Cricetulus griseus: one gene and its partners. The protein of the gene in region 7 interacts with the protein of the main gene of each other region in a pairwise test. Links are inferred from orthologs where the notes say so. Each region holds a gene or a part of one and is shown on either strand. Other genes may lie near its edges. The genes, in order: Taf1d, Gpatch4, Zbtb16, Cwf19l2, Kat5, Fam133a and Cep70.

Evidence for each region.
Region 1: the proteins of Cep70 (region 7) and Taf1d interact in binary tests that used the Homo sapiens proteins (3 or more experiments, as listed by UniProt). The link is inferred for Cricetulus griseus from reciprocal best matches to the Homo sapiens genes CEP70 and TAF1D.
Region 2: the proteins of Cep70 (region 7) and Gpatch4 interact in binary tests that used the Homo sapiens proteins (3 or more experiments, as listed by UniProt). The two-hybrid records come from large-scale screens. The link is inferred for Cricetulus griseus from reciprocal best matches to the Homo sapiens genes CEP70 and GPATCH4.
Region 3: the proteins of Cep70 (region 7) and Zbtb16 interact in binary tests that used the Homo sapiens proteins (3 or more experiments, as listed by UniProt). The two-hybrid records come from large-scale screens. The link is inferred for Cricetulus griseus from reciprocal best matches to the Homo sapiens genes CEP70 and ZBTB16.
Region 4: the proteins of Cep70 (region 7) and Cwf19l2 interact in binary tests that used the Homo sapiens proteins (3 or more experiments, as listed by UniProt). The link is inferred for Cricetulus griseus from reciprocal best matches to the Homo sapiens genes CEP70 and CWF19L2.
Region 5: the proteins of Cep70 (region 7) and Kat5 interact in binary tests that used the Homo sapiens proteins (3 or more experiments, as listed by UniProt). The link is inferred for Cricetulus griseus from reciprocal best matches to the Homo sapiens genes CEP70 and KAT5.
Region 6: the proteins of Cep70 (region 7) and Fam133a interact in binary tests that used the Homo sapiens proteins (3 or more experiments, as listed by UniProt). The two-hybrid records come from large-scale screens. The link is inferred for Cricetulus griseus from reciprocal best matches to the Homo sapiens genes CEP70 and FAM133A.

What each region holds. Positions count from the first base shown.
Region 1 is NC_048597.1:128,814,837-128,818,830, forward strand, and holds the start of Taf1d (TATA box-binding protein-associated factor RNA polymerase I subunit D), read left to right. Parts: upstream 1-1,194; 5' UTR 1,195-1,484; intron 1,485-2,648; 5' UTR 2,649-2,658; coding exon 2,659-2,729; intron 2,730-3,130; coding exon 3,131-3,506; intron 3,507-3,994. UniProt on the Homo sapiens protein: Component of the transcription factor SL1/TIF-IB complex, which is involved in the assembly of the PIC (preinitiation complex) during RNA polymerase I-dependent transcription.
Region 2 is NW_023276806.1:66,417,203-66,420,702, forward strand, and holds part of Gpatch4 (G patch domain-containing protein 4), read right to left. Parts: intron 1,952-3,500; exon of another isoform or gene 1,655-1,951; coding exon 1,569-1,654; intron 1,275-1,568; exon of another isoform or gene 1,215-1,274; coding exon 1,164-1,214; exon of another isoform or gene 866-1,163; coding exon 91-865; 3' UTR 1-90.
Region 3 is NC_048597.1:160,607,938-160,612,140, forward strand, and holds the start of Zbtb16 (zinc finger and BTB domain-containing protein 16), read right to left. Parts: upstream 2,801-4,203; 5' UTR 2,792-2,800; coding exon 1,524-2,791; intron 1-1,523. UniProt on the Homo sapiens protein: Acts as a transcriptional repressor. Transcriptional repression may be mediated through recruitment of histone deacetylases to target promoters. May play a role in myeloid maturation and in the development and/or maintenance of other differentiated tissues.
Region 4 is NC_048597.1:118,084,324-118,087,823, reverse strand, and holds part of Cwf19l2 (CWF19-like protein 2), read right to left. Parts: intron 1,600-3,500; coding exon 1,489-1,599; intron 809-1,488; coding exon 689-808; intron 1-688.
Region 5 is NC_048596.1:53,753,703-53,756,465, reverse strand, and holds the end of Kat5 (histone acetyltransferase KAT5), read right to left. Parts: intron 1,467-2,763; coding exon 1,307-1,466; intron 1,200-1,306; coding exon 1,118-1,199; intron 1,031-1,117; coding exon 896-1,030; 3' UTR 501-895; downstream 1-500. Other genes in the region: Rnaseh2c (ribonuclease H2 subunit C), read left to right, coding at 1-19. UniProt on the Homo sapiens protein: Catalytic subunit of the NuA4 histone acetyltransferase complex, a multiprotein complex involved in transcriptional activation of select genes principally by acetylation of nucleosomal histones H2A and H4.
Region 6 is NC_048604.1:52,732,083-52,735,582, forward strand, and holds part of Fam133a (protein FAM133A), read right to left. Parts: intron 720-3,500; 5' UTR 650-719; coding exon 1-649.
Region 7 is NC_048597.1:207,684,353-207,688,304, reverse strand, and holds the start of Cep70 (centrosomal protein of 70 kDa), read right to left. Parts: upstream 2,801-3,952; 5' UTR 2,704-2,800; intron 1,106-2,703; 5' UTR 1,013-1,105; coding exon 1,004-1,012; intron 1-1,003.

The DNA of each region.
Region 1 (3,994 bases), about 79 Mb from region 7:
CTCACTCTGTAGACCAGATTGGCCTTGACTCATTGATATCTGCCTGCCTCTGCCTCCCAAGTGCTGGGATTAAAGGCCTAGAAGCTCATTAAGGTTTTTTTATTTTTTTATTTTTGGTTTTTTGAGACAGGGTTTCTCTGTGTAGCTTGTGCTGGCCTCCAACTCACAGAGATTCGCCTGCCTCTGCCTCCAGAGTGTTAGGATAAAGAGTGAGGTGAACCTTGGCAGGTTTCATGGCGGGCGAGGTTGACCGAGGCCAAGGGACAAACATTCCAGGCAGACAGCTTAAATGAAGTTTTATTAGGAAGAGGCAGGCCAGCATAATGCCTGATCCTTACACCCAGTGCTGGGATTAAGGGCATGAGTCACCACCGCCTGGCAGTACACAACATAAAGATGGTAAAACTTGTATTAATAATTCTAAATTTTCCTTACTTATGGGGAAAACATAGTCTAGGCTGGCCTGGCAATCCTCCTTCAGACTCTCCAGTTCTGCGATTTGCCACAGTTCTCAGCTATTTGTCACTTTCGTTTTGAACAGGACCCTGCAATTTAAGTTTGCACTGGTCCTGAATGTGACAGTCTGAGATGCCTGTCTTAGAGCTTACAGCGAATGCACTGGCTGCTTGCAAGTACAGCAAGACCTTACTTTTAAGGCGTGTCCAATCATAAATGATAACAACTGTTGACTAAGGGCAAGCAGATCTGCTGGCTTGCTTGTCATACAATACAAAGGTGCAGCATGGAAAATAACTCAAAGCAGCTCACTACTGAAAAGAAAGTACTGTAGGGCTAAAAACTGTTTAGCCCTACACTGTTGAGTCAACTCAGGATCTGAAGGAGGAAGCCCATGCCTGCTGGAAGCTAACTCCTGAAGGGTGGGGTGCCCAAAGCACCTGGCACCCTTCCTCTGAGGGGGAACTCCGCACACAGTGGGCTCGGCCCCACAACATGCGGACGCTCACCTGACCCGCAGTGTCTTCACGCCTGCAGGAATGCCTTCTTCCCTTCACCTACCCAAGTTCAACGTCCTGCTCCCTTCCGCCAGCTCAAAGCCTAGGGGCGAGCCCGGTACCGCCTCTCGCGGAGGCCCCGCCCACTCCACAGTCCACGCACATAGCCACGCCTAGCACGTAGCCGCGCTCTCGTACCCACCCGCCGCTAAGAGCTCACGCGAGATCTCGGCCTGCCCTAGTCGGCTGCTGCGAGCTGGAACGTTCTTTTGGTCGCGGTGGAGGAGGGAGACGGGTGTGTTTGCGTTGGGCGCTCGGGTCTGGCGCGATCGGTCGGTGCGGGACTCGGAGACCGCGCGCGGGCCCGGGCTCTTTGGGCGGCTGTCCGCGCGCAGTCGGCGCTGTTGTCGGGTGAGGCGCAGCGGGCCACGCGTGGCTCCCGGTCGCTATCGGTCGCTGCCGGAAGGTTTTAGAGTGTCCCGTCGGGGCATTGTGCTGGTGCTGCCTTCCTAGGTCGAGAAGACCGCACAGGTAGGACTGATTTCTAGATAGGTTCCTCGTGTGTACTTGGCCATTACCCTTAGAATTTTCTCCGCTCTATCGTTGGTGCAAACGGGCCAAGTATGTTACGTTGCAATTTTGATGGGCTAATACTAAAAAACAATGGGGAATGGAGAAATGGCTCTACAGCTAAGAGCACCAGCTGCTCTATCAGGGGACGTGGGTTCAATTCCTAGCAGCCACGTGGTAGTTCACAACCATTTGTAATGGGCTCTGGTTCCTATTTCTGGTATGGGTGAAACCAATGCACTATCCGTAAAATAAGTCCCCTTTTAAAGGAAAAAAGTTAATAACCCGGGAGGTGGTGGTGCATTTCTTTAATTACAGCACTCAGGAGGAAGGCGGATCTTGAGTTCGAGGCCCCGCCTGCCTCTACCTCCTGGGGTTAAAGGCGCGCACCACCACCTGGCCAGTTGCGGCCCCTTTAAAGCTGCCTTGTGGGTGCTGGGAATTTAATCTGTCCACTCAAGAGCAGTCAGTATTCTTAAAGCTAAGCCATCTCTTCAGCTGACTCACCCTAGAGGTTCTATTGTTGGGATTACAGGCCCATTGGCCATTCGGGAAATTGAGGCATACACACTGAGTGGCTAAAAATTCAGCCTTCCTAGGGTAAACATCCGAATTAATGCTGTTTCACTGTGTGGCTGGCTGGTAGTAAAGCCACTCAGGTACTTTTGTTAAGTAGAATTAGAAAACACTGATTTGGAAAGTGGTCTCTCCTTTGCTTTCACTTGTAGATTAGAATTGAATGTGTGGGTATCCAGGAAGCCAGAAACATGCCATGTTGAAGTTGTGAGCTACCCAATGTGAGTGCTGGGAACTGAACTGTGGAAGGTTACACTTTAACTGCTGTGCTCCTCACGTGGATATTTTTTTTTTTAAGACAAGGTTTTTCTATATTGAATTAGAGCCTGTCCTGAAACTAACCTGGAACTCACAGGTCTGCCTGCCTCTGCCTCCCAAATGGCTGGGATTAAAGGCGTGCACCACCAACAGCTGGCTCACTTGGATGTTTTTAAAGATCTAAAGTGGACTATCCTTAGGTCGATTTTACCTAAAGTCACATGGTGGTATGGTGTATGTTGAACTTTTCATTAGAATGCTAGGTGCATCACACTGAAATTGTAATTGCAGAGATCGAGTAATGGCTCAATCAGAAGTGACTTCTGTTGACTGCATGACACCTGATAGAGCTGCAGACATTGGACATCAAAGGTAAGGCAGCTTTTGTGACTAAACACCCTAGAGTTGAGTCTAACTGTTCAGATTGACAGGTCTCAGTAGGTGGCCTCATTCAAAGATGATCCTGCCTATTTCTCCCAAGAGCTGGAATTAAAGGCTTATCACCACACCCATTTGAAAATGTTGGGTATGATTTTGGGGGAGCTGGCTTTGGAAGAAATGTACACTTAAATTTTTAATGTCTTCTCTTATGTGACTTATGAGTGAGTGCTTTGCCTACAGTCAGTATCATGTGTTCAGAAGAGGGTGTTGAACTCCATGAAACTTGAGTTACTAATGACCATGCTGCCTGAGGGTACAGCCTTGCCACTCGTGAATTGGATTGTTTCTAGTAACGACTCAGTGATGCAGTTTATTTTATTTTATTTTTTTAGCGATGACTCATCTGATAGCTTATTTAAAACACAGTACGTTCTTTCACCTACACGAAAGCAAAGAAACCCTACGACAAAACGTGTCACTTTACCTGCAAATGTTGACACTGACACATCAAGTGACTCCTCTATAGAACCAAGGCTTTTGACTTTAAAGGCTATTTTTGAAAGATTTAAGAAAAAGAAACGGAAAAAAAGGAAATACAAGCCAAAATTAAGACCAAGAGGAAGACCACCTGGAATAAAAAATGCTAGAAACCCTAGAAGGTCACAGATAGGTGTGAAGCAAATTAAAAACAAAGGAGCTGTGTTTCCATTCTTAGAATCTGAAAATGGAAGAAAACCCTTACCTTGGAAGAAAATTTTAACATATGAGGTGAGTCATTCTCATGTAAGTGAATACACTAGGAAATTGGAATGATTGTTGCCCCCATCTTTTCTTCCTGGTTTTTCCAGACATAGTTTCTCTGGGTTTGGGTGTTGTTGGCCATTTTTAATTTGAGGTCCACCTGGGACACATTTTGTTACTTTGACAATAAACAATGTGTTCTGTGTAAAGTCTGCTCAGGTTCCAGTGTTTCTGAGTGCACTGTTTTTAGTGTGTATACAAACTTAGAGAATAATGGTCCAAGTCTGTAAATGTACAAAATACCCTCATCTTAGTCTCTAAACTACTCTCAAGCATATCTTACCCAACTTTAAATTAAGTAGCCCATCAAACCAGTCATTTCAAAGTAAGCAGATGTTATTTCGTTCTTTTTATTTTTTATGTCATTTACTTTTTTGGGGGGGTGTTTCGATACAGGGTTTTCTGTGTAGCTTTGGAGCCTATCCTGGCACTCCTTTGGAGACCAGGGTGGCCTC
Region 2 (3,500 bases), on a different chromosome or scaffold from region 7:
GCTCCTGAACTTCTGCAGAGGGGTGTGAAGAAACCTTGCCCAAACCCAGACCACTCTGAAAAGTCATCAGCAGACCTACACTGTAGACCGTCAGTCCCTCTTCCGCTTCTTCTTTTTGGCTCTCTGGTCAGTGTTGATGCCAGCTCTCTCCTTGGGATGTGGCTGACTTCTCTCACCTTCATTCTCTACTTCCCAAGTCCTGTCATCATCGTCTTTATTGCTCACATCCAAGACTACCTCTTCAAGACACTGCTGTCTTTTCTTCTTGCCTCTTCTGACCTTTCTCTCTGCTTTTGTTAGGCCATTCTTCCCTTCATCTTGGGTGTCCAAGTCATCCCCACTCTGCTGAGACTTCTTACTGCTTCTCCATGGATCTGGGTCTGCTCCACTGTCCACTGCCTTTGGCCTGCCTGTCATATCTCTGCCTCTTTCATCACAGACTTCCATCTTCCCCTCTTCTTCATGGTGCCGCCTCCTCTTTTTCTTCCTTTTCCTAGAAGACTGGTCAGATTGCTCTGTGCTCTGTTCTCCAGGCCCACTTGCTCCTTCAGCCTCTTCCTCCCCACTTCCTACAGCCATTTCCTCTCTCTGGTCTTTCCGCCTCCTTTTCTTCTTCTCCCTTTTCTTGAAGCTCTGAGGGTCAGTGTGTTCTAGGAGCTCCTCACTAACATTCTTTTCGGTTGTTGCAGTCTCTTCCTCCTCTTTCTGCTTCCTCTTCTTTTTCTTTTTGTGGGAGGGCTCCTTGTCAGTGTGTGGTTGAGAGGTGCCTACATCCTTTGAACCTTTGAGCCGAGCCAGGAAGGCCTGCTCTTGGGCTTCCAGGCGAGCAAGCTTGGCCTTCATTGTGATTCCAATCCGGGCAGCCCTAAGAGATGGGTTCAAGTCAGCAAGGACATTACATAGAAAGTTGGGAACAGAGGGAGGGAAGCTGCCTGACTTCAAACACAAATGTGTCAACAACAGGAATTATTTGCCTGGAAGAAAAATATTTGAGAGGTGACGCAAGCTATTCTTTTTTTTTTTTGCTTTTTTTTTTTTTTTTTTTATTAGTTCTAGTTAGGGAACAAGCTTATTTCAAGTCCCTTCTCCCTCTCCCTCCCGACGCAAGCTATTCTAAAGCATAGGCAGAAAGATGGGAGACCCAGAAGGCAACCACAACTTACTTGTGTGCTGTTCGCCCCTCACAAGCTTTGAGTAGCATTTCATCAGTCAGACTGTAAGGGTAGATGACAAGTCAAACAGATGGTGAGAAGACTTGATTTTTTTTTTTTTTTTCTGTCTTAAAAAATGTACATCTCCACTATTTCTTGTCCAAAACCTGGCACTTTTTGAAGGACTAAGAATACAAAGATTAGAGAAGGCAACTGGGATTGTCATGTAAATCAATCTTGTTTCTAATTCAAATAAAAAAATAAGTAAAAAAAAAAAAAAGAACACAAAGATTAGCACAATCTAATTAATTCTACAACCCCCGCCCCCATCCCTGAAGAGCATTAGGTTTATTCATCCATTCTCTTAAGATCCCAAAGCATCTCCTCCCACATCCTCAGCACAAAATAAAGTCTCACATCTTTGGAGGCGTGGGCTCATGGCTGTCATCATCACTGCCGCTCTCTCTGTCAGGCTTCTCTTCACCTGAGGTCAGTGTGGCTGTCTGGAGGAAAAGGATCATGGAGATGGATAAAGCCAGCCCAACACCATTACCAACCCTTTCAGAAGCCCCTAGGAACTCACGGCCGAAGCGGTGAATCTGACAGCCCTCACCACTGTTCCCTTCAGAGTCATGCAGCCTGTATATTTCAATTTGGACAGTTACTGGGAAGTGCAGCAGCCAGGGCTTCTCTGGCTCACAGCAGGCTGACTGAAGAACAACCAGGGAAAAGTGTTCTTCACTTTTAGGTTTTCACAGTGGAGTAGGTGCCAGTAACTGACAATAGAGACAGCACTCCTATTGCTGGTATTTTTGTTTAACTAGATTAACAGAACCTATTATGGGCCATGTAGCTCAGGATAGAGTAGAATGGCAATGAAATGGGTCCAGGTGCGGAGACAGCTCACCTGGTAACAACACTTAATGTGCAAGCATGAGGACCTAGTGCAGATCCCCAGCACCCACATAAATGTCAGGCAGGCATGGCTACCCACCTGTAATCCCTGGGGTCCCTGGAGCAAGCTAGCTAGGTGCTAAACTATACAGATTGGCAAGCGGATTCAAGTAAGAGATCTTAGTTCAGTATATAAGGTAGAGATCAAAAAAAGATACCTAATGTCAACCTCTGGCCTCTATATGCATACACATGTATGAGCACCTGCACACAAAAGTGCTCATATATGTGAACACGTATACATGCGCGTGCACACGTGTACACGTACACGTACACACACACACACACACAGAATTCGATGGGTCAAGTTTCCAGTCCAGATGTAATTACATGGGCAGTTAGGATGAACGTTGCCTGTCCCATAGATAACTCAGGCCAGGGTTTGGGCAGTGGTTTCTAGAAGGTGCTATGTATAATCTCAATCTGAAAGTCAAGAAATGTTAGCAGGTAAATGGCAAAGGCAGAGAAAGGGTAGGTGGGAGAACACAGCTTCTAGAAGAAGAAACAGAGCTGCTTCTGCCCCAGAGAGAACAGGTGGGAGTAAGACAAGAAGCATAAAGGGCCATGCAAGTCAATCTCATTAAATAGGGAGGAGCCAGACAGTGGTATTGCACACTTTTAAACCCAGCACTCCAGAGGCAGAGGCAGGCGGATCTCTGAGTTTGAGGCCAGCTTGGTCTACAGAGTGAGTTCCAGGGCAACCAGGGAGAATCTGTCTTGAAAAACAATAACAAACAAAAAGGATCATGATACAATTTGTGTTTTGGAAAGAACCCTATGGATGTTTTGTAGAACAGAGTCAGCTGACTATGGTGCAGAATGAGACCAGAGGCAGAGTATCTTAGAGGCAAAGACTGCCTGAACTAAAATAGTAAATGCCAACAGATGCAGAAACTGGGAAGGGTTGCTAGATAACTTGGGAAGCGCCGAGCAGAGTCTATGCTCGCTAACTTCTGGCTTTCTATAGCTATAGTGAAAAAGCTGGGAAGCCTGGGTTCTATTCTTTCTGTCTTTACTAGCCAGCTGTGGGTTCTTCAGTAATCCATTTTCTACACTTTGGGGCACACATGTAAAATAAAGATGGATTAAGTAACCAACCTTCAGGGTTCTTCTGTCTTCTAAATCTTTTTAAATTAGACACCAACACTTCCACCCCAGCAGCTCTTAACTAAATGATGGCTCTCCCTCTACTGTTCAGTGCTGCCCCGCAGCGGATGGCAGGGTCCATGGAACCTTAATACCTCAATTCTGGAGGGGGGCATGGGCCTTAGTCTAAGCACAGCGAGGTTGGACATGGGATCTGGGTATGCTAGGATATCCTGGGAACTAGTTCATCACACAAGGCAATCGATCAGGACCCAGGGGAAATAGGGGAGCAGTAAAGAGCTGAACCTC
Region 3 (4,203 bases), about 47 Mb from region 7:
CATATCCGTAGTTGTTATTTTATGTATCACTGGAAAAAAATGGCTACTTTTAGCTGAGTGCCACTTTCCATAGAGTTCAGCTCAGAGCAGCCAATCAGGCAGCTTCGGAGCAAGCTGCGGCTAGAGATGATTATATCTGTTTCCCCCATACACACACACCTCAGGTCCCCTAAATGAGCAACAGGAATGGAAGAAGAGGAGAGTGCTTGCAAAAGTGGAAAATCCACCCAAGATCAGCAAAACAGCCAGCCAGAAGTTGTGCAAAAGGTTAGCATCCATGACAACAGAAAACCAGATTTGGGGGCCAGGGATGAGGGATGTAAATGGTGGGCTTATAGTTTATGGCAAACAGAAAAGACAAACCCACTACTGACTCCCTCTCTGATGAGCACTGGTCAATGTTCCCCCACCTGTTCTTCAGGAGGGGTCCTCTTCTTCACTGGATGGCTACAAGGAACCACAATGTATGACAGGTTAAGTCTTAGTTTGAATCTTTCTGTCTCGCTAAGACTCCTGTGTATTAGTAAAAACAAACAAACAAAAAAACCAAATCCTCTACCAGCCAGCGGGGCAATGGTGGCTCATGCCTTTAATCCTACCACTTGGGAAGCAGAGGGCTAGCCCTGTCTACAGATAAGAGTTACAGGACAGCCAAGACTGTTACACAGAGAAGCCCTGTCTGGGGAAAACCAAAACAACAACAACAAAAACACTACCTACCTCTTAAGAATATTGTAACAAATGTTCAATTCCAGGTAAAGCACTGGTCCTGAACCAAGCATGTCACAAAAACTCAAAGGGGGGTTATTTTGCAGAGATTAAAGCAGAAGCCCAAAGGCAGTGAAGACTAGCCCTTGTGATTCAGAGAGGGGGATAAGAACAGATTATACAGGCTGTAAGACCAAAACTCTTATATTCTCCTTCTCCTTGAAATTAACTAGAACCTTCTCTACCTCACATTGTGTCTGCCAGGACAGATGTTTGGGACTTAGGGTATGCTTAGGACTTAAACAACATACAACCCATACTACTGTCCTGGGCTGAAGACAATGGCCTGCCATTAAACAATCTTTGACCAGTGGGGATAGGAAAAGCAAGCGTGATAACATAGCTTGATCCCTGGCCACAGGAGACCCTCAGCCTGAACCCCCACTTCCTGCCCTTTTTCTTGCCACTTTTATTAAACAGTTAGTCACTCTGGGCAAAACAAAAGCATAGATCAAACCACAAGAAAACCAGATGGAAGCCCAAAAAGCAAAACAGACAGGAGGGCTGAGATGCTGGGCCCATGAGTTCCCTCATGCTTTAGATAGGAACCATTTCTTCTTACTGAACTCTGAAAATAACTGTGTGACCTCCTATACCTTAATATGGGAAAGAATGGTTTGTTTTTGTTTTTGTTTTGTTTGCTTTTCAAGGAGCACAGACGAGTCAGGTCCCCAGATTCAGGATGGGACAGGCACAAAGGACTGCCATCAGAGCCGGAAGATGGGCATGGTCGCAAGGTTGGGGCAGGGGATTACCTGTGCTGCTCTACGGCTTCGTTGTCCGGAAGCTCGACCCCACACACGCTGCACTGCTCCCCCAGAGGACGGCTCTCGGCCTTCATGCCTACAGCCAGCTCACCCAGCTTGCTGAACAGCTCCCTCTGGATGAAGCCCTGAGGCAGCAGGCCCCCATAGGTGCTGAAGTCCATGGAGACAGCCAGGGCAGGTTGCACATGGAGACCAGAGGTCACTGAAGATGGCATGCTTAACACAGCATCGGCCTTGTGGTTGGGCAATACTGAGTATATGCCCAAATGCTTCTCCACTGGGGGTACCAGGAGCTCCTGTCGCCCAGGGGGTCCCTGACCAGCTTCAACAGGAGGTGACAGCTGCTCACCACTCTCTTCTCGCCCATAATGAAGCTCTCTGGCACTGGTGATGACGCTGCTTCTAGTGGGAGTACCAGGCCCCTCTTTGCTCCTTTCTTCAAGCTTGTCCCCCATCCCTCCTGAGATGCTGGACTCAGCTGCCCCAGGGCTGTCCTGGCCAGGGACTTCATCTACCTGCATCATCTCTGTCTTCACCTCAGCCACCCCGGAGTGCCGCCCACCCCCGACCAATGTGGGCTCTTCAGGCCCTGCAGGTGGCTGAAGAGTTCCTTGCAGGAGAGACTGCCCTATGGTCATCAAACTGTCCACTGCTGCCTTGGTAGGACTCATGGCTGAAAGACCAAAAGAGGTGGAGACCGAAGGGCTCTGGTCCACCATGGGCCCAGGGAGGCTCTGTCCAGCCACGCTGGCATACCCGCTCTCCTCGCTGGAATGCTTCGAGATGAAGATGTTCTTGAGGTATCGAGCCTTGCGGTCCTCTTCTTCTTCGCCCCCACCATCGGCCATGGTGGCCTCTGTGTCGTTGTCATCAGATGCCTGGATGGTTTCCAGGATCTTCAGGCACTGCTCCTCCAGGTACTCAATTTCCAGGATCTCAGCTGCATACAGCAGGTCATCCAGGTCCTCTGCCTTGGCTTGCAGTGTGGCCGTGTAGGCATACTCCAGAATCTGCTGGAAGGTCTTTGGGGAGAGGAAGTCCAGAGTATAGTGCTGGCTGTTTCGGTGGAAGAGAATCTCAAACATCTTGCTGGTGCAGGCCAGCACCGTCCGGTGGGCATGGAACTCCTGGCTGTCCACCATGATGACCACATCGCACAAAGTCCCGGCCAGTCGCATCTGATTGGCCTTGCACAGCAGCCCCGTAGGGTGGCTAGGGTTCTGCAGCTGGATCATACCCATCTTTGTCAGATCCATAATGCTCCCCTTGGCTCAGGCATGGGGCTCTCTTTCCTTCTTTGCTCTACGTGGTGCAGCAGGCTAGGCTTCCCAGGCTAGTGGAGGGGACTAGAGAAAGGAAGAAGAGAAGAGTTAAAAGAACCGACCAAGTGACAACATCCCCTAAAAATAAGAATTCAAACATCACAGTATGCCCCCACTCTGGCAAGAGGCTCTTGAGGGTTTTAATGGAAGGGGCTTGGGCTTCCAAGAAATCTATGAATCAGCCTCAACAACAAGCCCAGGGTTCTGAGAGTAAAAAGGAGGTTATGCTTGCCCATATGTTTAATCAACTGCTCTGTAGGTAGCATCTGCTGGATGAAATGAGATGAAGATACAAGTGAGTCCTAGGCATTCTTTAAGCCCGAGAATAGAGACTGCCCATGTAAGACCAATGTCCAGCATGAGGCTCACAAACATACTTAAAATGAACGAGTTTTAACCCCTTCTAAAGTCAACTTAAGCATCCAGCTTTACTGTCAACCTGCTATAAGTAAACCCTCATCTTCAATGTTTTTCTAGTTCTGCTTCACTGAGATGGCCTTAAGAGACAAGACAATCTTGCCGTGGCTGCTAGATGTGGTGGTAGCCTGACATCTACGAGCAATGGGGCTGTCCTCTCCTAGCCATGCCCTCTCTCCATCATCCTGTGCCTTCTATGGCCTCTGTCCTCCCACTCTGTAGTCAGGGCTGAAAAGGATTGGCAGACCCATTCTTAGGCTGTGACAAGGGCACATACATACAATTCACATTCTAGCCTGTCATTTCTACCTACAAGTTCCTCAAAGTTACTGTGTATGCCCAAGGTGTGTGTGTGTGTGTGTGTGTGTGTGTGTGTGTGTGTGTGTGTGTACTAGCATAACTAGTATTAACATGCCAGTATACAATTATACAAGATGTTACAGCCTCCTCTCTTCCCTCCTGCCCACAAGTGCCCAATGGACAGAATGCTCTAAAACAAGAAAGCAGAGAGACACCATGGGAGGGTGGGTATGTTCCCAACAGCCTTGAGGGCTCATGCCAGACTGGATGCCTCCCAGGTGTTGGCAAGTCCAGTGACAAGGAGAAAAACTGACATGGGACATGGCTCTAGAAGTGACTTTGGCACCAGCATCTCTGGTTGAGTTACATCCAGAAGGTGGGGAAGATGGGGCTGGAACACAAAGGCCTCTCCCAGAGCGTGTTCTGGATCACTCAGTGGCTCCCAATTCTGAACAGCTACTGGGACATGGACAGAAAAATCTCACAGCCTCTGCCTAACTGTGGTCAACATCTCACACAGCCAATGGCCTGGGGAGAGGGTGGAGAGAGGTAGGCTTCTCAGCCACTCTTCATGGAGCTCTCCTCCACCCTCAATAGGAGTCTTAAGGACTGACTCTTCAGCACAAAAC
Region 4 (3,500 bases), about 90 Mb from region 7:
GCTCAGTTGATGGCTCAACTGTAATTAATGGCAATCATGTAACAGACAATAACTGCTTAACTACATTTACCTAGATTACCACATCTAGTATGTCTTTTAAAAGATATATTTTATGTGCCCGTGTCTGGGTGTGCATATGTGAACATGTGTACAAGTGCCTGCCCAAACCAGAAGTACTGGCTCTCCTTAAATTGGGATTAGAGACAGCAACGATTTACCCACTGTGGGTTCTGGGAATTAAAGGGTCCTATGGAAGAGCAGTATATGCTCTTAACTACTGACCCATCTTTCCAGTCTAAATCTAATACACTTCTCAAAAAAAATCCGTATTTATTTTTATTTTATGTGTACAAGTAATTTGTCTGTATGTCTATGTGCTACATGTGTGCAGTGCCCACAGAGGCCTAAAAAGGCCAATAAATCTCTAGAACTGGAGTTACAGCTGCCATGTGGGTACTAAAAACCCAATTTGAGTACTCTAACAGAGCAGCCAATATTCTTACCGGCTGAAACATCTCTCAACCCCTAGTATACATTTAAACAGCTTCCCTATAAGAAATTAACTTTTTAAAAAATTGTTTCACATTCCTCAGTTATCATACACCACTAAAAAATGTACTTTACAAATAAAAATGATATTACAAATAAGGCAAATTAAAAAATGAAAGCACTGAAATTGTTCTCTTACCTGCTCTAGTGCTTGGGCTTTTTCCTGCTCTGTCTTCCTTAAAGTCTCCTTTTCAGCTTTGATTGATGATGAGGACACAGTTTTAACAGACATAAAATCAACAGTCATCCATTCATCCCGCTGTTTAAAAGAATGAAGCCATTTCAATCTGTACTTAAGACCTACTTAATAGCAGACTGCAGGCACTAGCCAAGAGCAAACACTATGTGGCTAGGTACTCAACGAGTTTCTCATTTTTGCTGCACCTTATTCTCTGCCTTATAAAAGTGGAGTGAAGAACTCACCTTTCAAGTTTGTTTGGAGTAAACAAAATAAGTATAAAAGGTAGCCAACATAGGGTCTGGTGCACACAATGAAATGTTAGCTACTGTTCACCTTTTTTCCTGTTTCTGTGGCTAAGTGGGCAAACTCTATTCTTTCTTATGCATATGAATTTATCTGCTACTCAACTGTAAGCATTGATGAACAAATTGTGACATAAGGGAACAGAAAGAAAAGTTGCAACTGAACTAGATGCATACAAGAGGTTCAGACTTCTGTATTAGGTAAACCCAACTAAAAAGGAAATGCCAACAACCATAGTAAAGAGAGTTCTGAAGGGTGACAGCACAGATGAGCATCCAGATGATGGGATTCCAGATGATGAGCTTCCAGAGCAGGAGAAGGCCAGTCTGAATACCAGCATTCAGCAATTCATAAACTACTGCTAAAGTATAATCCTCCTGAAGAAGTTATAGTCATAAGTTTAATACCAATCCATTCTTAGAAGCCAATTTGCTCTGAATCAGCTGGGTGCTCACCTGCATAACATGCCTGTCACATTCTTCTTCTGGCTTTTCGTCTTTCACTTTCCAGGTCTTTTCTTTGCCAAGTGTCTGGAAGGGAACAGCCTCAACCCACTCTTCAGAGCTCTAGAACATTTAGCATATACATGACATTCACAATTTGCATACTTATATATAAAATACTGAATTAAGTGGACATAATTCAGCTAATTAGAAGAGATTCTTTCATTCTTTTTCCCCTTCAAGAATAATACTGGAAAATCTCAAGAAATACCATGAAAACCCTACTTTAGCTTGAGCCCAAAAGAGACAGCCAAATTCATTCTTCCTCTCATGAGTTATATCAAAAAATAAAATGAAAAGCTAGGAAGGAAAGTGATATAGAAATTAATACTTTGCATTGGTATGGATTTTGGTTTACTGATACAAATTTAAGGTCAATTTTGTTACCTGTATATTTCTACTCCGGGTTAAGTATTGTGTTTATACAGCTCTTTTAAAAATGTAATGTATAATTAAATACAGATTATAGATAGTCACCTATATAGTCATGTTAGTTTTCTACATATACAGAGATATATATGCAATGGATAGATATTCTTCAAACCTTTCAAAGAACTATAGGTTATGACATTTAAAATGGTTTATTAGGGTTTTTCATGACAAGGAGACACAACACCAATTACATCAGAGAGGAGGATGGAGTGTGCCTTCAATATGGCAGGAATACCCATTTGGACAAGAAACTGCTCTTGTCTGGACTGCTTGAAAACATACTGTCCAAACTGGACAAGCAGGTTGTAAAGAAAAGTGACTGCTGAACTTGCCACAGGACAGGATGGTCCTTCAAGATTCCCGCTTCACAGAAAAGTCTACCAGACACTGGGCCTATAGGGTGAAGAGGGACGCCCCAACGTTACAGAGGAACTTTGGGTGACTGTCCAGGCAGCAAGATGTCTCCATCAGTTCTAGAGTTTATATATTATCCTTCTGAGGTCTTAGATGGAGTTGAAAGTTATGATTATTGTTTTCATTAGTTATGATAAAAGTTACATATTAAAGTTTAGACTCACAAAGATAGGATAGATGGTAGAATATTTTTTTTAATTTTGCCAAATGTTAATGGACTAAATATTGTTAACAATAGTTCTTATTTGATAACTGTTTTGTTATATATGATTTTACTATGTTAAAGTTAAAACCTTCCTTTTTATTTAGACAGAAAGGAGATGAGGGGGATGTCCTGTATGCTATGAATATAGGTTTCTCTGATTGGTTGATGAATCAATGCTGATTGGCCAGTAGCCAGGCAGGAAGTACAGGCAGGGCTACCAGACTAGGAGAATGCTGGGAAGTGGAAGGTAGAGAAGGCTTCAGAGAGAAGCCATGTAGCTACAGGAAGATAGGACACCGGGCATTCTCTGGTAAGCCAAGACCACAATGGAGATACACAGATTAATAGAAATGGGTTAATAATTAAGAGAGCCCTAACCAATAAGAAGCCCGAGCCAATGGCCAAACAGTTTATAGTTAATATAAGTCTCAGTGTGTTTGTGTCCAACCAGCTGCAGGACTAGGCAGATTAGAAACTGTCTACAGGAAAGCACCATGGCAAGGCTCAATTTCTACCAACATCCAAATGAACACATATATTTATCTCAGTAGCACCAGAGAAATAACATGCATGTAAAGGATTTTGCTATTTGCTCTAAGTGTCAAATTTGGGGGGGGGGGGAGCTCCTAGATCTAAAATTGCAAAGATCTCTAATAACATCTAGGCTGGTTACCTTGATCTATCACTTATCACCTTATTCTCTTGTAAGAGTCTCTGACTGAACGTGGGTGGCCTCAGAAGCCAGCAAGCCCCAGAAAACCTCCTCTCTCTGCTTCTGCACAGTGCTTGGTTATTGGCGTGTAAAGCCACACCAGCTTTTTACTTGGGTGCTAGTGACTGAGACTCACACCCTCATGCCTACACAGCAAACACTTTTACCAACTCAGCCAAGGCCCTCTAAGAAAATTACATT
Region 5 (2,763 bases), on a different chromosome or scaffold from region 7:
GCCCAGCCTCGCTGCAGCGGTGAGTACATACTTGAGCCCTTTCCCTCCTAGACTCCGTCCGACCTCCCACCGGGTTTGAATCGTCCCTAGTTACTTGGGGTTTTTAGGGCAGTAAGCACCGTGGATGGGGACCATGACGCTGGAAGACCAGATTAAAGAGTGGTGGGAGGCACTCTTCACTTTATCATCTGGCCTTAGAAGGGGCTAGCACCCTAAGCAGCTGGGTCCCCACACAACTGAATCCTATTAGAAAGTTACATAGTGGAAGTGACTCCTGTTGCAGATTCACGCACAGGTGCCTGAGGACTGAGAGCCACATCATGAAAATGAAAGTCACAGATCCCTTCACACCAGTAAGCCAGCAATAAGTTCACTTTGAAGCCACTGTTTCTATCCCAATAAATGAGCTCTTCACAACACCTGTGAGTCTGTGGGCACCTTAGCACCCTTGAAGCCGGCATGGCACGGACACCCAGTCTGGCAAGAACTTTTGATATCTCTGCCTATATAAACAATTTATTGCTGGGGGCAAGAGGGGCCAGAATTTTGCAACCAGCACCCACCCCACCCTCCAGCTCCTCCTTTACAAAAGAAATGTTTATAATCACCAGTCCTCTGTACAGAGTGCTCCCACCCGTCTCCATGTATATAGCTGCCTGGATCCCTCTGGTCCCTGTGTTCAGAGCAGACCTGGGCCGATGATAAGCCATCTATCCTTGGAGTTGGCTTAGCCCTGAGCTTGCCTTGGTACTGGCCAGTAGTTGGCCCCTCCTAGGCCTCTCCTTTTGGAGCTGTCCTCAGCCCTGTCTCCCTTGGTGTGCCTCTTGGAAGGGTAGGATAGCCTGTCAGCCCCAGTTGTGCCAGCTCTCTTTGTGTTGCAATGGGCAGTGCCTGGTCACCACTTTCCTCTCTTGCTCCAGTCTTTGGGAGTGAAGTGCAGACACTTGGAGTCAATTCGAAGGAGCCGTTTGAGCATAGCCCGCTCATGCCCATCCACGATGTCCTCTGACAGAGTGAGGATATATTGGCCCTAGGGAAGAAACAGACCCAGCATGTGGTCAGCCCACAGGTCTGTCATCTGTACCCCATTCACCTACCCCTCAGTGTGCCTCCTAACCTTGTAGTAATTGATGAGATTGAGATACTGCAGTGTGGAGATGACATCTTCTTTCTTGATACTAGTGATTTCACTGATCTCACTGTGGGAGGGCAAAAGTTAGGTTCTCTGAGAGTAGTCATCTGTCCCCAGGAGCCCCAGGAACAGACAGGCCATACCATACACCCCCAGGTGGGCATTCTGGCTCACTTGATGGTAATCTGTGGCCTCTCCCCGCTCTCTGACTTCAGTCCCATCAGGATCTCCAAGATGGTCTGGGACCAGTAACTTCGATAGGATAGGAGGCCAAGATCTGACAGGGGCTTCTCAGGTGTCCCTGTCTTCCCTTCTACTTTAGAGAGTTCATAGCCTAAAGCAGTGGAGCACAAGAGTCTGAGTAAGCATCACAGGTATACACAACAATAAGTAAGAGCAGAAACTGCAAAGTTACGCTTCCTGGTTTTCTGTCTCTCTTGGTAATGGATGAGTAGCTTCCCTGCCTGCTAAGTGGCTAGGGGAGCTGAAGACACCTAAAAAAGCAGCTTTGACTGGGAACTTGCCAGCTAGTCAAAGTTAATGAGATGGAAATGCTAGATTTTCCTTTGCCATCCTAGCCTGTGTCTGAGGACATTGGGAGGATGGTGAGGGAACCCTTTGTCATTCCCTAGCTGTGATCCTGGGAATCAGCTGTTCTTAGTGCCAGGATGGGCAGGGTGGTTGAGGATGTAACAGAAAAGTATAGAAGTGTTTCTTCAGAGCCAGAGAATTCACCTCGAAGTAATAGCCCTTTCTCTCTTATTTATGTTGACTACTAGGCACGGCCAGGCAGTTCATGAGACCTTTAAGTCCTGTAGATAGGGCCCCAGAGATGTCCCTATTAGTTTGGAGAAACCCTTCCTTACCCTCAGCTACACAGTCTTCAAAATGGTCCCTGGCTACATCTCTGTTGGCTAGTCTCACCCTCTTTGCTCAATCACCTTTGGACAAAATGGGCCAGAGAGGCAGCCAGAAAGAAAAGAGATCCAACTCTCCTGGATCGACTTGTGTACAGTCCCTCTAAGACAGTTCTGAGTTTCTGATCTGTTGATGGCCTCCCTGCCCTTTTATCTGTCTAATGCTTTTCTTGTGTCATGCTGGACAGAAGTGTTATCTTAGTGATCTGTCCTCTGAGTTTTCTTTCACCTGCTCTCCCAGGCTGAGTTTCCAGAGAATATGATTCCCAACTTGGAACCACTCAACTAATAAAATATTCCAAACAGTTCATGACTTTGAACAAGTAAAGCATCTGTGTTTCACCAGCAAAAAAAGTTAACGCTTCTTCCCCGATTCCTAGGTCAGTGAATACTTAAGTGAATGGAATGGGGATGGATGGGCTAACACTACAAAACAGAATGTATTGCAGAGTTAAGAGCCCATGTGAGCCAGGTGTTGGTGGCACTCTACAAAGCCACACAGAGAAACCCGGTCTTGAAAAATTTAAAAAAAAAAAAAGAGTCCATGTGAGAAGGAAGGAGCCAAAGTTCTCCTGGGCATTAAAAGACTAGCCTGACAAAGGAACGGGTACAAGTTCATCTTTCAGTGGGTTAAACAGCCTTTGGACATTAATGCCTGGAAGGCTCAGGTAACACCTGGTGATAATCCAGAACCTGTTACAGTGCACACCCAGA
Region 6 (3,500 bases), on a different chromosome or scaffold from region 7:
CTCTTTCTTGATCATCATATTTTCTTTTCTTTTTTGCCTGCACCTCTTCTTCATAATCTGATTCAAATGAGGATTCTGAAGAGGATGGCTTTTCCTCAGAAGCTTTCTTTCTTTTCTTGCTGTAGCTTTTGGTATATTTTTCTTTATCTGTTTCATCCTTTGCCTTTTTCTTCTTTGGAGGAAGCTCCTTGCTTGGCAATTCTGATTCACAGCTGGAGCTATCTGACGACTTGTGGGAACGGTTCTTCTTTTTCTTTCTCCTTTTTCCTTGTTTCTTGCGCTCATCCTCAGAATCTGAAGAACTGCTGGATGAATCAGAGCTTGATGAAGAGGATGTGTACCGACAAGATTTCTTCTTTTTCTTTTTCTTTCTCTCTTTTCTTTTGGATGAATTGACATTTCCACCTAATATTTTCTCTCTGCTTTTCTCAAGCTCTTTCTTCCAATTTTCATTCATTTTTTCTTCAAATTCAGCCAATGCCTTAGATCCTTTCTTTTTATTTTCTAATTGTTTCTTTACTTCTTCCCAGGTGGGCCTTGGTCGATTCAGATAATCTTGTATAGTTGGGCCTGCGGATTGACTTGCACCCCTCCATCTAGCCATTGCTATAGGATTCATATATGCTACTCGGTTATCACGTTTCCCCATGGTGCCAGGTGGTTGTCAGAGAAGACTACCAGTACCAAGGTTACTGCTAGTTTAACAAGGAGTCTTCATTCTGTGAAAGAAGCAGATCAAAAAATAATTGAACACCTTTAAAACACAATAATATATAAGTTTAATTTCATTAATAACCATCACTGAAGAGGAGGGGGAAGATTGGATAAATGAAAGTTAGAGCAGGAACAGAGCAAACCAGTGTTTTCTGAACATGATAAGACTGCTGCCCTCATGAAGTCATAGTAGCTGTTGTTTCCTGGACAACATTAAGAAGTCACCATTCTTGCACAGAGATGGGAGGACTCCAATCTCTACCTCTAACAGAGGAGCTATTAACAGTTGACAGATTGTAGGGAGAGACAGCTGGTCTTTAAGGGAGTGGCTCCTGGTAGGATGGCCATGGTCTAGTGAATGACTCCATACCCATGAGAGTACATGAGTAGCACAAACAAAAATTCAGAAGATTATTTTAAAAAAAGAATACTCAAATTTGGGTGTGGGAGATGTAAGATTGGATCTGGAAGAAACTAAGGGATAAGCAGGGGTAAATATGATCAAATTACACTGTATGAGATTCTCTTAAGTATTAAAATGTTATACTTAATAGAAAATTTCAAAACTGTTGCATTTTAGGAAAAATCTATACATCAATTTACTTTTTTGCTTAGTACACACAATATACTATGAATTGCTATAAAGTTAAATGTATTTTATTGATCTCATGTAAGAGTCTGCCAGAGACCAGTAGTATTTAATAACCATTTTATTTTACTAAGAATCTTACATATCATTTTCCTTTCTTTCATTCCTGCCTTACATGGTAAAGACAGGAAAATTTACAGTTAAAATCTACCAGGCAAATAGATATTCTTTAACCTAGGTAAGTACAGAAAAATCTACCCCCATTTCTTTTGACAGAACCCCAGATGTAATATTTGGAAAATCGTTCTTTCTCATCTCTCATATCTAAACCATTACTAGACTGGGCTGTTTAAACCTTTATAATAATTATCATTCTATTCCTTTTTCACAAATACATTGTTATTGGCTTTGTCCATGCCACTATTACTTCCCATTTGATTTCACTCTCTATCATTTATTAAATATTTATAACCAAAGACTTTGTTAATCACTGCAATGGATTATCTCATTAAATCCTGAGCCTAAGCCTATGAAATTGAGCATATTATTATACCCATTTCACAGATAAACTAACACTTAGAAAATCTGACTATAACTTGTATGAAGAAACAGAGATAAAATTAAAATACAAACAGAACTTAAATCAAAGCTGCTTTATTTTCAAACCCTATGCACATAACACATTTTATTTAACCTTCATGACTACCTTTAAATTATTTCCCCTATTTCTACTTCCTGTCTTCTATTACAGGCCCACAGTAATCTGAGAGATCATGAAAAAAATTTAAAAGCTTAACAATTTATCAAAACGCAAGGAAAATACTATAAATGTATTATTTGAAATACCTTGAATTTAACTCTTATTTTAATTTGGTTACTAACTCTTGTTCACAATTTTCTTGGTTCATGAAACATGACAATTTCTAAACTTGAGCATTATAATTAAAATTCTTCTGGTTTAAGTTCAAGTATCAGTTCCTCAGAAATAAAATCTGTAGAATACATTATTTAATGTCCCTAATGTGATAAGACACAATGTTTAACACCAACAATTTTATATAACTCAAACTTATAATGAAGTAACTTGCTCCTGTCTAACCTTCATCCTCTTTTTCAACGTGTTAGAACTTATTTCTTAATTTATAGGACATATTAAACTGATAGTCATTTTGCTTCTGCATGTTTGTCGACTTCTAAACATAAGGCCAAGAGGGGTAAAGGCCATGTTTGAATTATACTATTTTTCATGGTGTTCCTAATATATAACATAATTTGGCTCATACTAAATACTCAAAATATTTGGTCATTTATAAATACAATAATTGATACATGGATTGGCTATGTAAAAGAAACATTCAGAAGGAAATCCCCAAATGTAGTCTTATTTATTTATCTATTTTGTTACAGTATTATGTTGTCCTTGGAGACCTGGAAATCCCTATGTTAAACAGGTTAGTTTGAAATTCACAGAAATCTGCCTGCTGCTGCCTCTCAAGTGCTGGGATCATAATCAATCTGAGCTAGTCATTTTTATACAGAAATCTGGAGAATAAACAAATTCACCTTGGAAATGAAGTAATGAAGGACATTTCAAGGAGGGGAAACAGTAAGCCAGGCGGTGGTGGCACATGCCTTTAATACCAGCACTTAGGAGACAGAGGCAGGTGGATCTCTGTGAGTTAGAGGCTAGCCTGGCCTACAGATCAAGGAAAGGCTCCAAGGCTACACAGAGAAACTGTCTCAAAACGACAAAGCAAAACAAAACAAAACAAAACAAAACAAAAGAATGGGAAACAGTATGTTAGAAAACACTGCAATTACAAAGCATGTCATGCAGTTACTGATGGCATAGCCTAAAGAGATGTTAGTATGGGGGAGGTGCAGCTTCATAGGCAGTTAGAAGCTTGGGGACCCTTTTAAAAATCTGACTTTAAAAATCTTTGTCTTACACTTGATAAGAAATAAGTGCAACATTTTAAGCAGAAGATAAAGATGATCAGACACATGATAGATTTTTCTGTTAGTCACTATCTTCACTTCTGACCTGTTAATTCCACCTATAATAGCTACCTATCACAATATGAGCTTTATGACATGTCAGTGACAAGGTGGTGCCCTCCTGTGTTTGATTTACTGTGTTCTATATTCCATTCTCTTATATCCAGATACTATCAGGTTTTCTGTCATCTTCTTTCTT
Region 7 (3,952 bases):
CTGCGTTCATCCTCCAAATCTACATAAAACTAGTGTGGTACACACCTATAATCCAAGGACTTGGGATGGGGAGGCAGGAGAAGCGGAACTTCAAAGACATTCTTAAATACCGAAGTTAAAGGAATTACATGTAGGGCCACACTCTCTTAGACAAAACCACCCCTATGTTCTTAGGTATATCCTATTTTTTCCTGAGTGCCTTTTTCCTTCTTAATCCTCATGCTTACACTCTATATTTACTGGGCATAGTGCCACACTTTTAATCCAAACCCTTAGGAGGCAGAAAAGAGGATCTCTGTGAGTTTAAGGCCTTCCTGGTCCACATAGTTAGTTCCAGGACAACTAGGGTTATATATGAGAATTGTTCAAGAGCACAGGTTAAAGAGTCATAGCTTAAGAGCTGTACCTGTAGCTGCTCAGGGTTGGCATTCTAAGGCTTTGAAAGTGTCGAGCCCTAAGCCTCTAGCCTCAAGACTTAGAGTCCAGGGCTCAAACTCAAGGCTATCAACACCAAGGAACTGCTTCTCCCTATCCAAGATTTCTATATAAGCTCCCAGCCAGCCACTTGAGACAGGTTTTTCAAATCATAACAGCAAAAAATGTTTAATGCAATACTAACCAAAAGAAAACTAGCATATAACCAAACTGCCTGGGGATTCTGCCACACAACCAGGGGATACTAATTCCTCTGTGCTTTGATTTCTTCATAGAAGAGCAGGAGGAGGAAAAGTACTTAGCTCACAAAAGTCCTGCAAAGATTGGAAGAATAAATACTCGAAGAGCATGGAGTATGCTAGCCTCACAGCATGACAGAGTCTCTATCTATTGAACTCATTGGACTTCCACTTTCTTATTGAGCTTTACTTACTGAGAATTATCAGGTAGTCAAAAGGAAAAAAAAAACATGTAAACGTATCTATCATCTAACACAATATCCAGTAAATTTTGTTTGCTATCTCCCTAAATTGGAAAAAAATAGAATCATCCATTATATCATACATACCTCAGTCATAGTGATTCCTGTTGCAGTTTACACCTGGTCATCCAATCTGATCTCAATAAAATGATCACCCAATGAGTCTCATGTCCAAAACTGGATCTTGATCTAGGTTTCAAAAAGATACAAGCCAAAGCCTTAAAATGTTCAGCCTGTTCACTAAAAATGATCTTGAGTTATAACAAGGCAGGAATCTATGGTGCAGATAACCATGGAATCAAAGCCTAAAAAAAACTGCAGCAATGCCGCCCGTTGGTGATGCATGCCTTTAATCCCAGCACTCAGGAGGCAGAGGCAGGCGGGTCTCTGTGAGTTCGAGGCCAGCCTGGTCTCCAGAGCGAGTGCCAGGATAGGCTCCAAAGCTACACAGAGAAACTCTGTCTCGAAGACAAAAATAAACGAAAAAAAAAAAAAAAAACTGCAGCAACAAGAATGGTCCAAAGCTCTCCATCAAAGAGCCTCCCCTTTTCTTTTTCTCTTATCCTTCCTCCCATTGCTTTGTTGAAACGTGCTGGATATCCAAATATACCATTCTGATTTGTGGCTTCAAGGGTGGTTATTTTTATTTGCACGTGTATTGAGAACACTCAAGTAAAACCAGGCAGAACGATACTCGCCTGCACCTGTGATCAACCTTCCCTCCAGTATTGAGTTACTGTTCTGCAAGTAAAAGGGGAGTTAGGCCTACAGATCATCATCATTCCATCCCAGATGACAAGAAAGGCCAGAATTGACCTGTCCTGGGCTGAAGAAAAAACTGCCAATAAAACGCCTTCCTACCCTGCCTCATCAACCAACACAGAAAGCAGCAAAAACTCTCATCAAATTCCTTTCCCAAGGGAAGCTGGGGGAGCAGGTGTATTGGAAAATTAAGACAAAAAGTCCACGCAACACAGAAGGCTGAAACCAACGTCTGCAGCGCTAAAAGGTACGGTTACAAACAGCTCAGTTGGTATAGGCAAGAAAGCTTGAGACACATCCCCTGAATCCACGGAAACGGGGAATTCTGTAATTCCAGCACTCCCGTGGGCAGATAGAAGGAGGATACTGCAGCTCTCCTCGCTAGTCCGAGTAGGATGCAGAAAAACAAAAGGCCTTCTCCCAAACAAGGTGGAAGGAAGGCAAGGACCTACACTTGAGGTTGTCCTCTGTTCTCTCTGGTTCATAGTAATGGGAACCTTGATTGGGCTTTATGGTATTTTTCACATTATAATCAACGTGGACTCTACATAAAGGCGGAGTTTCCCCGAATTTGCAATGTGTCTGACAGGAGAGAGAAAGAATCAATCCTCTACCCTTCCTCCCGAGATCTCGCACTGCGCTCCAAACCTCTGTCACCTGAGAGCTGGAGGAAAATCAGCCCCCAGGACCTACAACAAACCCCAAACCCAGCCGGTGCCACGTACGACTCTAAGCTCCAGTTTCCTGCCTCCTCTACCAGGTCGCTCCCCTTATTCACTCGAATAGGAGCCGGAGCTCGGGGGCTGAGTGGGAAGCGAGCTGCACAAAGTGTCAGGCGTAGGGTGGTCCACGCTCGCCCCCGCACGCGCGGTTCCCAGCTCGCACCTTAGCAGCCGGGGCGACTCCGCCCTGGAGGCCCTGGTCGGTCAGTGTAGACCTTCGGGAACCCCCAAAGAGGACACCTTCGGGCGTGCTCTTGAGAAGGGACCCCCGCGACGCCCTCGGGGACCCCAAGAGCCACTCACCTCAACCGCAGCAGCCTGCAGCTTGCAGCGCGCCCGCCCCTCCGCCTGAGCCCCGCCCCCTCGACCGTTGGCGCGGCCAGGCTGACCAATCGAGCCGAAGCAGTCGATGGCCTCCCCGCGGGGCGGGAGACCCATCCGGGAGCGCCAGGGAGGCGGGGTCCGCGCCGCGCTCTATTATTGGCCCCGCCCACGGAGGCGGGGCTTCCCACCCACACAGACTTGCGGGCGCAGGTCCTTCGTAGGCACTCTGACACCCCCGGGACGCCGGGTCGGGTAGACGCTCTGTCACCAACGTGGAGTCTCTTTGATCCGCGAGAAGCTAGAAATACACAGTGCGGTCGCAAGTGAAAGTGAGGCTCGGGCTGCCTCGCCATCACTGGATGGTTGCCCTCACTACAGCTCCTCCCAAGCCAGATCTGCGAGCTTTACCGGGAACTGTCTGCACGCTCTCCAGACCTGGCTAAGAAACTATATATAATGTGTATATAAATATACATATTTATATATATATTATATATTTATATATATTATATATGGACCACCATCAGCGTTTCTTGATGACATTTCATCTTCTCCTCAAACATTGTTAAATGTCTATTTACATGCCCGACTGAAAATGTGAGGTGGACTCCTGTTAGACACTGATAAGCGTGTTTAGTAAAGCGTTTGCAGCTACGGAGAGCAAAGGACGATTACGTGAGAGGGCACAGCCGTTTGAACGGCTGAAAAGCTTTGAAAACTTGATCTGCGGGCCTCCAGGTTAATTAAATCAGAATCTCTAGAGTGGGGGCCCACGTGTCCAGAGTCTGTAAGATTCCTCCAAGTGATTCTAATGTATAGCTAAGAGGGAGAAGTGCTCACTGAGATGTAATTAAGACCGGTTCTGAACCTGGCGGGGAACAGGAACTGGGGATATAATTCAGTTGGTAGAATGCCTAGCATGCACGAAGCCTTTGGGTTTGAGCCTCAACACCGCCTGAGACAGGCGTGGTGGCACATGCTTGTCATCCAAGTATTTAGGAGGGAGAGGCAGGAGATCAGGAGTACATACATAGCAAAAGTCAAGGCCACTGGAGCTACATGAGGCCTTGTCTCAAAGAAAAAGTAAAACTAGGGTCCCTCTCCACTAATAGAGGGTTAAGAAATCCAAAATATTTAAGAGAAAATCCACCTTCCATAAACCTGAATGAAGACCTCAAGTTTCTGGGATCTACCGTAGTTGTGCTTGCACCTTGTAGCCACGTGGTGT